Cricetulus griseus: one gene and its partners. The main gene of each other region encodes a partner of the protein of the gene in region 2 in a complex. Links are inferred from orthologs where the notes say so. Each region holds a gene or a part of one and is shown on either strand. Other genes may lie near its edges.

Region 1 (5,552 bases), about 95 Mb from region 2:
CTCGCATTAAAGTGTATCACCAGGCCAGGCTTAATTAAGTTCTTGATAAAGGTGCTCTTGTCATAATGGGGATGCCGCTGCCATTTTGTTGCAATACATGATGTTGCTGCTTTTAACTGTAGTTTTACTACACTGCAGGAAAAATTGTGTGTCAGTGTGTCTGTGTGTATGCGTGTGTGTGTAAGAGAGAGGGGGGTCCTCACTAATTAATACAGGCTGAGTTCTGGGTTCAAACTCTCAATGTTCTTGCCTCCAAGTAGCTAGGATATGGGTATTTGCCACCCTTCCCAGCTAAAAGCTTTATTTAGTTCTTGGTCTTATATGAATTTCATTTATTTATTCTTTTTTTTTTTTTTTTTTTTTTGAGACAGGGTTTCTCTGTGTAGCTTTGGAGCCTATCCTGGCACTCGCTCTGGAGACCAGGCTGGCCTCGAACTCACAGAGATCTGCCTGCCTCTGCCTCCCGAGTGCTGGGATTAAAGGCGTGCGCCACCAACGCCCGGCTTTCATTTATTTATTTTTAACATTTTATTTTTTAAATTATGTGTATATCTGTGTGTGTTTGTGGTTGTGCACATGAGAATGGGTGCCCTTGGAGGTTAGAAGAGGATGTTGGATTCCCTGGAGCTGGAGTTACAGGCAGATGTAAGCCACCTGACATGGATGGTGGGAGCTGAACTTGGGTCCTGTGCAAGAAAGGTACCTGGGCCTAACCATGGAGAGATTTCTCCAGTGCCTTCTAAGAATTGTAATATTCAGCATAGTTGTTGAGTATTATATGATGCATCCCTAGATACCATGCTTTTTTCCTGTACACCAGGATACTGACTAATGGAAGACTATCATTCTCCACATAGACTAAATCCTTTGGTATGGTGTGAGCTCTTTTGACTACCAGATTGCTAACATTGATAAAATTGTAATAGTCACAGTAAAATCAGAAATGTTTCCCTTAATCTTTAGGTGCTGCTTTATAGTAGTGGTATCAGAATTGTGCTAGCCTGGTGGAAGGAACTCAGAACTTTTCTATTAAGGTGTGTGTGTGTGTGTGTGTGTGTGTGTGTGTGTGTGTGTGTGTGTGTGACAGGTGAGGATTATCTCTTTATACCCCACCAAATCTGGGAACTCCATCTCTGCCCTCTTCTTCCAGAGATGTCCCACAGTACCACTAGTCATGTGACCAAGATTTCTGGCTAGTTCTCAAAGTTTCTCATAAACTAAGTTCACCATACTGATCCCTAATAAAACCCATGTGTATTCTCCAACATTCTCCCTATGCTAATTCCACACCACTGAGCTTGCTAAAGTGTTGTTATAGCCCTACATTTCAGGCCAATATCTTGTAGGTGCTTGACACCTCTTGCTTTTAGTTAGCTGTTTGAATCTTGGGAATTTATTTTTGTTTTGCAGATGGAAAAATAAACTTGTTATATAGGAACTAGTGGAGGTACCAGAATTTAAACCAGAATTTAAACTCTCACCTCCTCTGTGCTGTTCCCAGGTACTCTCACATTACCTGTGTGGTTTCCACAGTCCTTTAGCAATGCACCTCCTGCCTAACTATTGGCCATTCAGCTTTTTATTAGACCAATCGGGTGTTTTAGACAGGCAAAGTAACACAGTTCTACAGAGCTAAACAAATGCAACACAAAAGACTGCAACGCATCTTTGCACCGTCAAACATCCCACAACGTAAATGAATGTAATACATCTTGAACTATATTCCACGACTGAATACAAAGAATCCACACCGTATTAGTACAAGGTGTGTACTGTACTGCAAAGCAAAATAACAAAAAACTCTCTTTCAAAATAAGTTTAACTTTGGGTGCTCCTCCTAGGAGCTTTTTTGGCGCCCCTTGCAAAATTCAGGTCTGTCTAAACTCCGAAGAGTTTGCACTGGGGAAAGGATGTCGACTCCCGCCTCACTCAAGCGAATCACCAAGCGTGGGCGAGCTGGAAACCGCACCTACAGTGGTCTTGCCGGGTGTTCCTCGCCTTCACTTTGACAGAGGTCCCAGGGGAAGTCACGTGAGAGCCTGAGAGCGCTTCCCCCCACCTTGCGCAGTGACGCGCGTCGGGTTGCCAGGGGGCGGTGCGGTGCGCGGAAGGGGCGGGGCTAAGGCCGCCGGCGGAGGCGGGGCGACGCAGGGGCGGGAGGGGCGGAGCGGCGCAGGGGCGGGGCGCCCGGCGTATTATGGGATGCGGCGGTGGAATGGCGCTGGGCGCGTGATTTTGAACAAACCCGGGTCTGTGTTTCGGAGGCGCCGCCGCCGCCGCGGCTGCTGGGAGCCCCGGGAGCGCGGCGCGAGAAGGAGGCGGCGGCGCCGCCGGCTCGGGTAAGTGTCAGCCCCGGAGACCCGGGCTGAGCTGCGGGAGCGGCGCCGGGCCCGTGGGGCGGTCGCGCGGTCGGAGAGCGCCGGCCGGCTCCCGGGCAGCTGGGCCGGTGGGCCGCGGCGGGCGGAGGGTCGTCGGGGCGCGGCCACGAGCCGCTGGCGCCTGAGAGCGCGGCTGTCACTCGGCGGGGTCGGCGCCGCCCGCTCGGCGCTCGGGAGGAAGGGCCCGGCGGCTGTTGACAGGCTCTCGGCGCGGCCCGGGAAGCTGCCGGCGGCCCCGTGCTTCTGGGAACCGGTTTTGCTGCTGTGTCATTTCGTACCAGCGCCTCCTTTCGCCGCTGCCCGCCGCCGCGTTCTTCCTGCGCCCCTTTGTATGGACTCCTCTGGGTGTGTGTCCGTTTCCCTCGCGAAGCCCACCAGCCAAATGTCATAATGTCCCCGCGGTGCACGGGGGAAGGGAGCGGGCTGGGACTCAGCCTGGCCAAGCAACGGTAAACAACCATCCGAGTGCCGGTGGACCCGGCTGTTGGTGGGGGAATAAAGTTGAAAGATGAAGGAGCTGGCAACCCCTTACTTACACGCTCAGCCTCTAGCGGGCTGTATATAAAAACGCGCCGGGAGTGGGTGGGACAGCACTTGATTAAGCCCGAGCCTGCTGACTTTTAGATGGAGTTGTCATTCACACAAGGTATGGAAATGAAATGGCTTCTGCTTCTACCGTATTCTTAGGTAAACTTAAGACAGTTGAATAGTCCTGTTCGCAACCCCGAGACTCAGTTTGCTGGTTTCAAATAGGTCTTTTAGAGCGTATATTATATTGAAGCTGAATGATAAAGAATACAGCTTTTTTAACTGGCAATTATTAAGGCTTTCTGAAATTAAAACGCTGATTTTGGGGGAATGCTGGTCCCATTAAGAAGCCTTGCAGCTTATGTGTTCTTGTTCCTTAGATGATTAAGCATTACTTGTATTCTCTTTTGGCTACTTATTAAACTAAACGATGAGAGGAACTGGAAGGGGTGGATAGGTAATTCCGGAATCTTGTTCTCAAGCAAGCTGTTTATTTTCACTGCATCAAACAAGTGTATCGGCAGCAGATGGTTTTTAATTTGGAAACTTAGATCCAAAAACCGTTTGGCAAGGGATTCTAGCGAAGAGCTGTGTGCCTTCTATATGTTAAAAGTTCGTGTTTTGTTCATGCCTCCACAGTTGGAATCAATCACTTTAAATCAATACACTTTAAATTTAGTGGAACTTGTACAAGTTAAACCAACGACAAGTTGACGCAATGGTGTTCATGAACAGAAATGATCAAAGTTAAGTGGAGAGGAAAATAGTTTAGAACTTTATTCTTAAAAATTAAAAAAAAAAACCCAACAATTCAAACCACTGTAGAATCAGCGCCTGTCATTAAGGGGTGCCCGAGAATCAGGCATGTATACGGAAATAGCTATACTGTCAAAGTAGTTCTGTGGGTGGAGTAGAATGCCAAAGTTGGTGAGTGACGTTGAAGGTGTCCAATGTCTCTGAAATGTACACGAAACACTGAAACTGTCTACCATCTCAAGTGTTTTTCTGGAAATGAAAGAGTTCGGGGTCTTTACTGTTCTTGTGTCAGATTCCGTATGGCTTGCCCTCCTAACAAATGCCTAGGGCTTGGAATCCCGCAGGTATCACGACTCCACTTGGCGTTCCCGCGGGGCCGCGGATGTCTGGTCCTGTGGTGGTAGGGCTGGCACGGCTCGCCGGTGAGCGCCAGAACCTCCGGTGTGCGTTTGAAGGTTGGCGCGGCGGGCGGGAGGTTTCCCCGGATATGTGGGTGTGTGCTGCTCGTGAGGGCGGGCCGGGGCGGGAGCAGGAGGAAGGGGGAGGTGACTGGTGGCGGCGGCTGCGGCGGCGGCCGGGGCTCGGCTGTCGGGGGAAGCTGCTGAGCTGTGATGGTGATGACGAGGTGAAAATGGCGGATCTTTCGAAATACAATCCCGGCCCCTGACATACCAGAGGCGGCGGCCGCGGCGACATCGCTTCCCCGGCTCCCTCCTGACTCCCCGGGTACCCTGTAGTGCTCCATTTCGGGCAAACTGGGAAAGGAAGCAGCTGGACAGAGCTACCGTGTACAGGCAAAACAAGCACTGCCCAGGCTGGGAATTGCCCGGGACCTTCTGGAGCCCGCTCCTCGGAGCCGGAGGGTGGAGAAAGCGGCAGCCTCTGGAGGTAGAGGAGAAGGGGGGTACCCGGGGGCTCTCCGTCTACAGAGCTCTTTATTTGGGAGCTGGGGGAGGAAATGCGTTTCGGACCAAGAATGACTTGTCCGGAGTGCAAAGAATCAGTAGCCTCATAATGACATCAACATTATTTTTTTTTTTTTCAGTATCAAGGGTTGAGTTCGCTTACACCTAAGGCTGCTGCTGAGGCCTAGAGGAACCGCTAGTACTTACCATGATTTCCTGATAGAATACTTAAAATACCCACTCAGTGGGGGTTGGCTGGTGGTGGTCAGCAGTTTAGGGAGTTGTGTTTCTTTGGGGAGGCAGGGCATTGGCATTTTCTTCCACATTTAATGTTGGTGACAGAACATAGTCTAACTTGTTGGGGTGTGGATCCTCATCTATTTTTGAACATAAGGACCAGTGTTGTAGCAATCAAAAAAAATTATATGGCGCCTGTCATCCTTGGGGTGGTACCTTTGAACATGCCACTTGGCAAATAACAATTGATACTGTAAATCATATTTTCTGCCCAGTTTTAAAGGGATTTTCTTCTCTGTTCCCATCTGATTTGATAAATTCAGAGATCGAAGTTATGGAAAATTTTATAATAGGCTATATACTAAGTGAAATTCTGTTGGGAGCCCTATTCTGCTTGTGAGTTTACCTTCACTGTCAGAGGAATGCTTTGAGCACATTGAACTGATACAGATATTGAAGCTTGTTACGGAGCAAATGCAGTGTCTTTGTTCAGGTAGGCAGAGCACTGTTACCTTGGTTATAAGGCTTGATTGACCTTATCATGGCCCCCTGCTTACTTTTGTCACCTGATGGTCCTTGCTGAGTTAGGCTGTGCTGCACAGTTCTTAGGCAGTATCTTTGCACAAAGCAGGAACGATACCTAAAGGTTACATGTTATACAAAATTTTAATCAATGGTTTGGGGTCCTCCTTTTTTCTTCAACTTAAGTGGTAGAAGGTTGGGTCAGTGACCTTGAATTATGAGAGTA
Region 2 (4,944 bases):
AGTTGAGATCACTGTTCTTCTGGAAGTCTCTTGTTCTCTTCCTAGCACCCACACAACAGCTCCCATCCATCTATAACTCCAGTTCCTGGGGCTCAGATGCCCTCTTCTGGCCTTGTCAGGCACAGCATGCATGAGGTGCACAGATATAAAAGGAACTGTAGAGGTCTTGCTAGAGGGGAGGGATCCCTGAGACCCCTGCACACCACTAATGAGCATGCACACCAATTTCTAACCCACTCATGTGGGTTAGAAAGACCAGTTTGCCCCCTGAGGAACCCAGCCACTCCTCCTGTGGGCTCTTCTCAAGGGAGGTAAGGTCACTATGGTGAAGGCACCACCCATTGTAGTATTGCTCACAAGGCACAGAAACAACTGTGCCTGTCAGTGGCTGAATGGATAAAGAAACTGGGGGAATTGTATGTTCTGAGAAAGTTAAAGTTTTCCATTTGCCACAGTGGGGGTGAACAGGAAGGACATTACACTAAGACAGTAAACCAGACACAGAAAATTACTGTGTGTCTCAATCACACAGAATTAAAAACCAGAAATGAAACGTGCAGAGAGAGCATAGCTGTTTACCTGTGTTGGATTAGAGGAGAGAAAGTGAGGATGTGGGTGAAGTAGGGCAGGGGTCCCCTCTGGCAGGCAGTATGAGGCCTCATTTCTACTGAGATGGATTAGTTGCTTTTTTTTTTTTTTTCCTTCCAATTAATTTCTATTATGTATACGGGTGTTTTGCCTGCGTATATGTCTGTGCACCATGTGCATGCCAGATGCCCAGGGATGCCCAGAAAAGGACATCAGACCTACAATTGTGGATGCTTGTGAGCCACCATTTGGGTGATGGGAACTGAACCCAGGTACTTTGGAAGAGCAGCCTCTTAACCTCTGAGCTATCTCTGCTACCCCTTTGTTAGCTGCTCTTGCTCCTAAAGCAATAGGCAACTGCTCTCTGAGAGGTGATGATATGTTGACCCATGTTACTCTGGTAACTTTCTACCATTTGAGTGTGTCTCATGATATCACGTATATTTCTTAATGTGACTGAATATACAAAATGAGCTGAGTGGTAGAACACTTACCCTGGCGTGTCCAGGGCCCTGGCATACATTCCCAGCATTAACTTTTTTTTTTTTTTCCGAGACAGGGTTTCTCTGTGTAGCTGTGGAGCCTATCCTGGCACTCGTTCTGGAGACCAGGCTGGCCTTGAACTCACAGAGATCCACCTGCCTCTGCCTACTGAGTGCTGGGATTAAAGGCATGCGTCACCAACGCCCGGCCAGCATTAACTTTTTAAATTTCATGTGTGTGGGTGTTCACTTGCATGTATGTATGTGTACTACCTGTGTGCCTGGTGCCCCTAGAGGCCAGAAGAAACCTTAGATACCCTGGAGTTGTAGACAGTTGTGAGCCACTTTGTGGGTGCTGGCAACCAAGTCCAGTCCTATTCAAGAGCAGCATGTGCTCTCTCTTGACCACTGAGCCACCTCTCTAGCCCCCAGTTTTGTTTTTTCCAGACATTTTTTATGTTCAGTCATATATATGTGTATGCGTATGTGTGTGGCTATATGCACTCAGATGCATATAGCCACACACATACGCATACACATATATATGAGTGCATATAGCCACACACTATATGCATATGAGTACCCAAAGAACTTCTGCACTGATTTCCCTTGTGACTGTGTCAGCTTGTATTATCTTCACCAGCGGTGCCTAAGAGTTCCCCTCCCCTATATCCTCCAGCATTTGTTACTTGTTTTCTGTCAGGTCAGATGGAGTCTCGGTGTCATTTTGATTATCACTTTCCTTGGCTAAAGTGGCTGAACATCTTATCATTATTTTGGTATTAACTGGCTATTTGCACTTTTGAAAATTATGTAGATCATTTGCTTAGTTATTGATTGGCTTATTTGTTCCTCTGTTGTTGAATTTTTCCATTTCTTTCAATTGTGATGTTAATCCCGTTAGATGAGTAGCTGGCAAAGATTTTTCTCCTTTTTTGTAAGCTCTGTCTTCACTGGCGACTGCTTGCTCTGAAGAGGCTGTTCCTTTTCATCCTTTTGTCAGTTCTTGGAATGATTTCCTGTGCGAACGAACAGTTGGAGTCCTTTGAGGGAATCCTTGCCTATTCCTATAGCTTCAAGTGTTTGTCCTCTCTTCCTCTGGCAGTTTCAGAGTGTGAGGTCTTGCATTAAGATCTTTGATTCGTTGGAACACATTTTTGCACAAGATTATTTAGCTCTTTTTTGTTTTGTTTTATTTTATTTATTTATTTATTTATTTTTGCACATAGAAATCTAGTTTTCATAGCACCACTCAGAAGAGGCTGCTGTTTCTCCAGTGTATGCCTTTGGCATTTTTGTTGAAAATCAGGTGTCTGTAGCCCCTTGGATTTCTGGATCTTCCATTCTAACACATTGATCTGTGGGTCTGTTTTGTTGCTGTGGCTCTAATTTGAGATCAGGTATTGGTAACCCTCCAGCACTGCTCTTTCTGCTTGCAGTTACTTTGGCTGTTTGGGTTTCTTATGCCTCCTAATTTTAGACTGCTTCTATCTCTGTAAAGAACATTGTTAGTATTTTGGACTATTTACTTACAACCATTTTTATACTGGACTTTAGATGGTGTGCTGGTGTGGCATGTGTGAGGCTCTGGGTTCAATCCCTAGACATACTCTAAAATGAAAAATCAAACAAAAAACTTGGGAAAACTCATTTGTTGACCTTTTGGCTAAGGTCAGGTGGGGGAACTCTCGACTTGTCAATCCTTTGTTTGGTCAGGTCAGAGAACACCAGGTCTTACACTTTCATAATTTGCTGCCTTAAATCTGAAGATAGGAAGGGTGTACTTAACAGTTACAAAAATGTGAATGTAATGTTTTAGGATCTTTTCCTGAATTGTGGCAGTTGATACCATCTATACAGCTATACTTAACATTTGGTTCCTTTGAAAGTCTTCATAGTTGACATTTAGACATTTTCTTTAGTGAGAGTTAGCTCTAGTTCATGTTCTGATTGCTCTCTGAAGCTGAAAAGCCAGCCTTCCTTGGGGATTCTGTGTGTCAGTCTTCGTGTTTGGGAAACACCTAAGGTGTTCTACATTATTTTGCCGCATCAAAGCAAAGAAATGGCCATTTTATTCCCAAGACTCGAGGGTCGGGACAGAGCATGGGCTGTTAGTAGTGATGGAACAGCATGTTGAGGTGCTGTGGTAAGTCTGATGCCTGCTGTAAAATGAACCCTGCTAGTCCCTGGGCCCAGTATCTTCCTTAGCCAGTGCCCAGGAGAGGGAACTGGAGGGCTCACGGACAAGTTTGGGACATTTGTGACTGAGCCATTGGTCTGCAATGTCAAGACTAGGGTTCTTGATAGAAACACCATCTTCCTGGAACTGCCCCTTTTAACCTCAGCTCAGAGAACAGCTTGACTCTTAACCTGTGCCCTTGTATTCCAGGTGTGGTGTCTCTTGTAGCTGTCCACCCATCCACAGTGAACACACTTGGAAAGCAGCTTTTGCCAAAAACCTTTGGACAGTCCAATGTCAATATCACACAGCAAGTGGTAAGTGGTAAGACACATGAATCCCAGGTGTATGGAATGGGCTAGATGTGGGCGGTGTTGCTGTGGCCACAGTGTTCCTAAGTGGTGGAGGTTGCTTGCAGGAGTGACTCTCCTCTCTTGGGTGCATTCTGACTCCTGAAAGTGTGCACTGCTTTCTGTTGTACAGACATAGTGCTCAGTCTTCCGTTTCTTCAGTGTGCCCTATGTCTAGGAGTATTTGGAGGCCCTATACACATGGCAGTAACCTAATGGATATAGAAGGACTAAGGCCTGAACAAGCTTCCTGCTCCATGGCTTCCGTAGCTAGAGCTCTTGAGTTAGAGTTGCCTCTGTGTTACAACAAGTTCTGTGGCCTTTTTCTATAGCCACTGTGTCTCCTAGTTGCGAAGAGATGAAGGAAGGGTGTGGCTGTGTGGCTATGGCCACAGGAAGGGACCAGCACCATCCCCTTCCTTCATTGAGTAACACATCAAAGATGAAGAGCCCCTCAGTGTGATTCGGTCTCAGGCCAGTGGAGCGAGCTCACCTGTAGCTGGAGGTTCCTTCGGGGGTATTTTAGCACAGACCCATAGTGGACAGATTCCTGTCTTTCATCCAGGGACCTACCTTCTTCATGGCTCTAGGTTTTTCCCCTAGCCTCTAGTTGTTTGGCTTCTCCTGGAAACCGGGTCCTTGTGACACGTGCACCTCTGTCCTGCTCCATTGCCCACATGCTGCTTTCTCTCACAGTGTCTTACCCCACCAGCTTCATGTCTTCTGAGGAGGACCTAGTACCCTCCCTCAATTAATCACGGGGCCTTAGGAGTCTTTAGCTGAACATTTTTTTATATGTATTTATTTTTTGTTCTCTTTTTCTGTGTATTAGATGTATGTGGAGGTCAGAGGACAGCTTGCAGTTGTTTTCTTCTGCTCTACCATGTGGGTTCTGGGGATTGGACTCAGGTCATCAGGTTTGGTGTCCGGTGCCTTTATCAACTGAGCTGTTTCACCAAACCCCTCCACAGCTTTCACAGGTGTCCCTAGCTGTCCCGCCACTCTGGGTTTCTACAGGCATCCCCTGGTGTTTCCAGATGTCCCTCATCCCTCAAGCCTGGATTTTTTGCAGCTGTTGTTGGGGCAACCCTACAGCGTAGTCAGTCTTCTACAGAGAAAGCAATCACCTCATGGGTGTTCTGTCATGCTGTGCTTCAACTTTACTTGGAATGTGCCAGTATTTGCACTCACTGGTACCTCTAAGTCTCTTCAGTGGTTTCTGAGAGTTTGGGCGTTTGTTTTTAATTTTTTACATTAAAATTTTTCTATGAGTGTTTTGTCTGCATTATATATGTGTACCACATGTGTGCCTGGTGCTCTTGGGGTTCAGAAGAGAGCATCATGT
Region 3 (5,451 bases), on a different chromosome or scaffold from region 2:
CCTCTGCCTCCCAAGTGCTGGGATTAAAGACATGCACCACCAACGCCCGGCTGTAAAATAATATTTATTGGGTTCATATTTGTGCCCTAAAAATTGAAGTTGATTCTCTTCTTCAACATGTGGATTCTGGGCTCAAACCAAGGTTAGCAGTCTTGGTGACAAGTTCTTTTACCTGATAAGCCATCTCATTAGCTCAGAATTTCCCTCCTTTGAAAAAAAAAAAGACAAGGAGGGTGGGGGTGGGGGGCAGTTTGTGAAAGATCTGTCAGTAAACTGCTTATTGAGCAAACCTGAGGACCTGAGTTTGCTCTCCAGAACTTACATGAAAAAAATATGAGGTTGCCAGGCGTTGGTGGCGCACACAATTAATCCCAGCACTCCAGCAGGCAAAGGCAGGTAGATCTCTGTGAGTTTGAGGCCAGCATGATCTCCAGGGTGAGTGCCAGGATAGGCTCCAAAGCTACACAGAGAAACCCTGTCTCAAAAAACCAAAAAAAAAAAAAAAAAAAAAAAAAAAAATGAGGTAGCAGTGTTAGTGATCCCAGCACTGAGGGGTTCTTGGACCTTGCTGGCTAGCCATTAGCCTACTACTTTCAGGCCAATGAAAGGTCTTACTTCAACAAGGTGGGTGGCTTTTGAGGGACTACACCTAAGGTTAACTAGACTCCACATATACTGGTACCAACATGCATGTCTGAGTGCAGACACACACATAAACATTATAAACATGCAGTCTCTCCCCTTAAACTCACAACCTCCCTCCAGGGTATCCTGTTCTTATTTCCACACCTCACATTCCTCTGTGTGTGAGCATGCATGTGCTCGAGAGGGCACTCACTGTATGGGTGTAATGAGTGCAGATGTAGGTGTCTGTGACTGTGAAGATCAGGAAGGATGCTGAATGTATTCCTTTTGCTCTCAGATTTATTGTCTTGACACAATGTCTCCCACTAAACCAGAAGCTAGCTAGACTGGCTAGCCAGCAAGCTCTCAGGATCCACCTGTTTCTGTTGTCCAAGATGCTGGTATTATAGGCACATGCACCCATACCTAGCTTTTAAGTGAGTGCCTGAGATTTGAACTCAGGTCCTCATCTTTGAAGAGCAAGCATGCTTACATACTGTGCCACCTTCCCAGACCCTACTCTGCCTCCTTAACCTATAAAACAAAATCATGATCTGTCTGTGCATGCATTAGACTACAGTTATCAAAGTTCTCTATGTGAAATCATTTCTTCTGTGACCTCTCAATAGCATGTGATGCTTCTATGCTCCTATGAAACCACCATATTGGTTCTTCTCTTAGTTATTCCTTCTTCAGTCTCCACTCAAACCTCACCCTATGCTAGCTTTACTCGCTACAACTCTCACTATTACATAACAACAACTATTCATATTTCCAGTCCCAACCTTTCTCCTGAACTTCAGAATAACATGTCCAAGAAGCTACTTGATGTCTTTCTGTATTACATGTAGGGAAAACCCCTTAAACCCACTATGTTCTTTCCCAATCCTCTCCATGTTGAGACATTACAACACCATGAACCCCGATTCTTTAAAAGCAAAAACCCTTTGAATTATTTACTTTTCACTAGTTTATTTTGTTTTGTTTTTTGTTTTTCTGAGACAGGGTTTCTCTGTGTAGCTTTGGAGCCTATCCTGGCACTCCCTCTGAAGACAAGGCTGTCCTTGAACTCACAGAGATCCGCCTGCCTCTGCCTCCCGAGTGCTGGGATTAAAGGCGAGCGCCACCAACACCTACTTTTCACTAGTTTAGATGTGTGCTAGAGACTGAACGTAGGGCTTTGTTCATCAGAGGCAAAGCTCTCTCCCACTAACCTATATACTCACTTTTTATTTTCAGATTTATTTATCTGTATTGCTGTTGTCTGAATGTTATGGGCACAATATGCCTGCCTGATGCCCATGGAGGTCAGTCAGATCCACTGGATGGTCATGCATGCCTTTAATCACAGCACTCAAGAGGCAGAGGCAGGAGGGGCTGAGTTCTAGGCCAGCACGGTCTACAGAATGAGTTTCAGGGTAGCCAGGGTTACAGAGAGAAACCCTGTCTAGAAAAACAAGCAAACAAAAAACCCCACCTTTTTGAGACATACTTTGCCCACAATTCCTTCTGTAACCTAGGCAAGCCTGAAGCAACAATCTTCCTGCCTTGATCTCCCAAGTAGCTAGGATTAGAGGTCACACACCAAGGCCAGTTTCATTTTTTGAGAAACATTAACTTAAGGCCAAATGCTTTGCAGGCATTAGGATAAAACCTAGGATTAAACTCTGAAATAAGACAGACTTGAAACTTATAATTAGGTTGTGGCCAAAACAAAATAACTATGCTGAGAATGAATATACTGAGATACTGAATAATGACTGAAGGGCAATTCCAAATCCTGAAACAGAACCTCGAGCAAAAGCATACAGGTATAACGAAAATACTTAATTGCCACCTAAGATGAATTGCATCTTAGATGTCATGTAAGCAGAATTGCTCCTGCTCTCAGGCTACGGAAACAACACATAAAAAAAATAAGAGTGTGAGACGCTACAAACTATATTAACAAGACTACTTTTCATTTCCCTCGGGACTCAGAGCCAGGAAACCAGGTCCTTGATTCTCCTGCTGCCAGGGCAACGGACCTAAACTGAGAAGGAGACAGCGTGTTTCTCGACCTAGGGATGAACTCGAAACCTCACGTCAGTCACCAGCCACAGCTAGGACTTCAAAGACTCCTTCTAGCTCTACTGAGATGAGATCAGAACCGACACTCCAAGGAGCGGATCCGAAAAGAAAGCTGCCTTTCCCCTGAAGCCCCTTCTGAGCCCTCGGCATCACCGATGGGCCAGGCCGAACTCTGTCCTGTTTCCGGGAAAGGGTCTGTTTGGTGGCCTCCTTCACCCAGCAAGTGGGGAGACCTGGTACTTGGCACCTCCGGGGACGCTGTGAAAACCCTGCGGGCTGAAAACCCGACATACCCGGAAGGAAAGAAGTGGGAGAGCAAGGAGAGGAGCCCAAGAAAGAAGGGTAAGCGTGAAGGCATAGGAAGCTCCCAGAGAAGCAAATAAAGAGACTACAGGGCAACAATCTCCAAGCCGGCTCTTACCGTCCGTGGGAGACGCCATCTTCCAGCCCATGTCACGTGACGTGGCCAACCGTCGGCGGGAAAGCGAGGACCCACAAGCCACGCCCCTGGAGAAATAACCTATCCTCAACTCGCGACCCGGTCTTGCTGCCCTAGCCCATAGGGTAACATTTGCCTAGTCCCACCCCAGAAGGCAGCCCCGCCCGGGGCGCCGTAGTTAAGGTGGAACGCAGGCAAAATTCTCCACGGGCCTTATTTACTTTCCTTAGCGAGGGGGCGAGGCCTCGAGGCTGCCTACCTGTAGCCAATCGGAGCTCCCGGTTAGGGGGCGTCTTCCCCAGCTCCGCTTGGTGCTTAATATGCAGGACCGAGTCGGGGTGGGGGCGTCTCCCGCTCTCCGCCAACAAAAATCGGCTGGGGTGAGAGTGGGCGAGAACGCTTCCTCTTCTGACCAATCACATAGTCCCAAGACTGGGAGGGACGGGTGGGAGTCAAGAGTTCTGACAAGCGATTGGTTACGAGACGTGGCCCTCTCCTCCAATGGCAAGGCCCGGCCGTGTGGAAGGCGTGGCCTAGCGGTGTGACTTCTTGGGAGGCTCTGGCAGCCTTGGCTCGTGAACCAGGCAGAAGTGCTGCGCTATGGCGGCGGTGGCGGCGGCGGCGGCGGCGGCGGCAGTGCGGACCCGGATCCTGCAGGCGAGTGAGGGTGGCGACGAGGGACCATGATGTTAGGAATGGGTCCTTACCGCCCCGTCTCTAAACCATGCTCCTGCCGGACAGACTTACTGTCCCAGCCCCTCTGCCGACCCTCTTCCACCAGCCCCGAGTGTCCGGCTGTCACTCTGTACTGTCTCTGGCCCTGCATCCAGCCCCAGACTGTCACGCCTGGCTCTCCCTCCTTTTGCTCCTGAGCCTTTCCTTTTCTGGCTCTGACCCACCCACCTCCAGTTCGGCTCAGTGCCCACTGTCACTCTTTGGCTTGCTTTCTCTCTCTGGTTCCTCCCACGGTCTCTCACCTCTGCACCAGCCACCTCTGTTCCCCAGAAACTCCCCCCTTTTGGTCACCTTTCTCAGAGTAATTTATTTTAGGGGTGTCCCTTCCCCCACCCAACCTCTGTACATAATCTGAGGTAAGGGGAGGAGGGAGGGGAGCTCACTAGGGTCGTGCTACTAGGGTCGTGCAACTAGGGTCGTGCGAAGGAACTCTGAATCGCCTAGAAATGTACCCTAGGTTTCCACATCAAAGGCAGCCATTTGCTAGCTGTTTTCCCAAACTATGATGGCTCCTAGTGTTTTTCACAAGCTCTGGGCCAAGTTAAACTTTCTCAACAAAGTTAACGTTTGGAGGTAAATAAGGGCACGTTATGCTAATACTGATTCATTCAAAGGACTAAATATTTCCCAAACAGGTGGTAGAAAATGAGAGCCTAGGAAGACATGTTCCCAAAGTCAGCTCCTCAAATGCAAACACACTCCCACTCTGCCAGACTGGGACTGGAACCCCAAAGAAGACTGCCTAAGGGCAGTTGTAGAGCTATGGAAGCTTCAAGCCTATGATCCCCAGCTTTGTTGATACCCTTTTGTGAGCTTTCACCTTAGCAAGGATCTAGAGCATGAGGCAAGATACTGTTACTGTCAAGATTCATAATCCGCCGGGCAGTGGTGGCACACGCCTTTAATCCCAGCACTTGGGAGGCAGAGGCAGGTGGATCTCTGTGAGTTCGAGACCAGCCTGGTCTACAAGAGCTAGTTCCAGGACAGCCTCCAAAGCCACAGGGAAACCCTGTCTCGAAAAACCAAAAAAAAAAAAAAAAGATTCATAATCCTGCATTAAGCAACATTGTCTCCTTCTTACTCATCCAGCCTGGGGATGCCCTCTATACTGTTGCACATACATAAAATTTTATTTCTGTTCATCAGGTTTCTATGAGTTCTGCAGCAAAATGTGCATTTGTTAGATTATTGGTGGAGTCGACAAAGGTTCAGGTTTGGATATGCTGTTTAATGGGACAGTGTGAGGAATGAGTTGGCCTTAGAGGGTTGGCATGACTTTACTCCCCTAGTTCTATTCTGGTATCTTTTTCTAGTAACAGGGACAATGTTTCCAGTCTACATAGTTCCATTACCAACCCCTTAAAATCCTTTCTGGAAATTGCCCCCAACCCCCAATCATGTTACTCCTATCAGCATGAATCACTGAGAACCTTAAGATATTTTGTCCTTTGCACAAAGGAGCAAAAACTCTCTTCCCATGCCTGTTATTTTTGAAACAGATATATATACCAGTTTGAAGAAACCTCTGGACTGACTTGGAAAAAGACCAGAAATAGTTCTTAGACAATTAGGAATTACTGTAG

Evidence for each region.
Region 1: Tfdp1 (region 2) and Lin54 share a complex: the UniProt entries of both Homo sapiens proteins name them as parts of the DREAM complex. The link is inferred for Cricetulus griseus from reciprocal best matches to the Homo sapiens genes TFDP1 and LIN54.
Region 3: Tfdp1 (region 2) and Lin52 share a complex: the UniProt entries of both Homo sapiens proteins name them as parts of the DREAM complex. The link is inferred for Cricetulus griseus from reciprocal best matches to the Homo sapiens genes TFDP1 and LIN52.

The regions. Positions count from the first base shown.
Region 1 is NW_023276807.1:162,538,246-162,543,797, reverse strand, and holds the start of Lin54 (protein lin-54 homolog), read left to right. Parts: upstream 1-2,200; 5' UTR 2,201-2,339; intron 2,340-4,306; exon of another isoform or gene 4,307-4,550; intron 4,551-5,552. UniProt on the Homo sapiens protein: Component of the DREAM complex, a multiprotein complex that can both act as a transcription activator or repressor depending on the context. In G0 phase, the complex binds to more than 800 promoters and is required for repression of E2F target genes.
Region 2 is NW_023276807.1:67,424,416-67,429,359, reverse strand, and holds part of Tfdp1 (transcription factor Dp-1), read left to right. Parts: intron 1-3,459; coding exon 3,460-3,566; intron 3,567-4,944. UniProt on the Homo sapiens protein: Can stimulate E2F-dependent transcription.
Region 3 is NC_048598.1:119,314,167-119,319,617, forward strand, and holds the start of Lin52 (protein lin-52 homolog), read right to left. Parts: upstream 3,353-5,451; 5' UTR 3,147-3,352; coding exon 3,116-3,146; intron 1-3,115. Other genes in the region: Aldh6a1 (methylmalonate-semialdehyde dehydrogenase [acylating], mitochondrial), read left to right, coding at 3,734-3,790.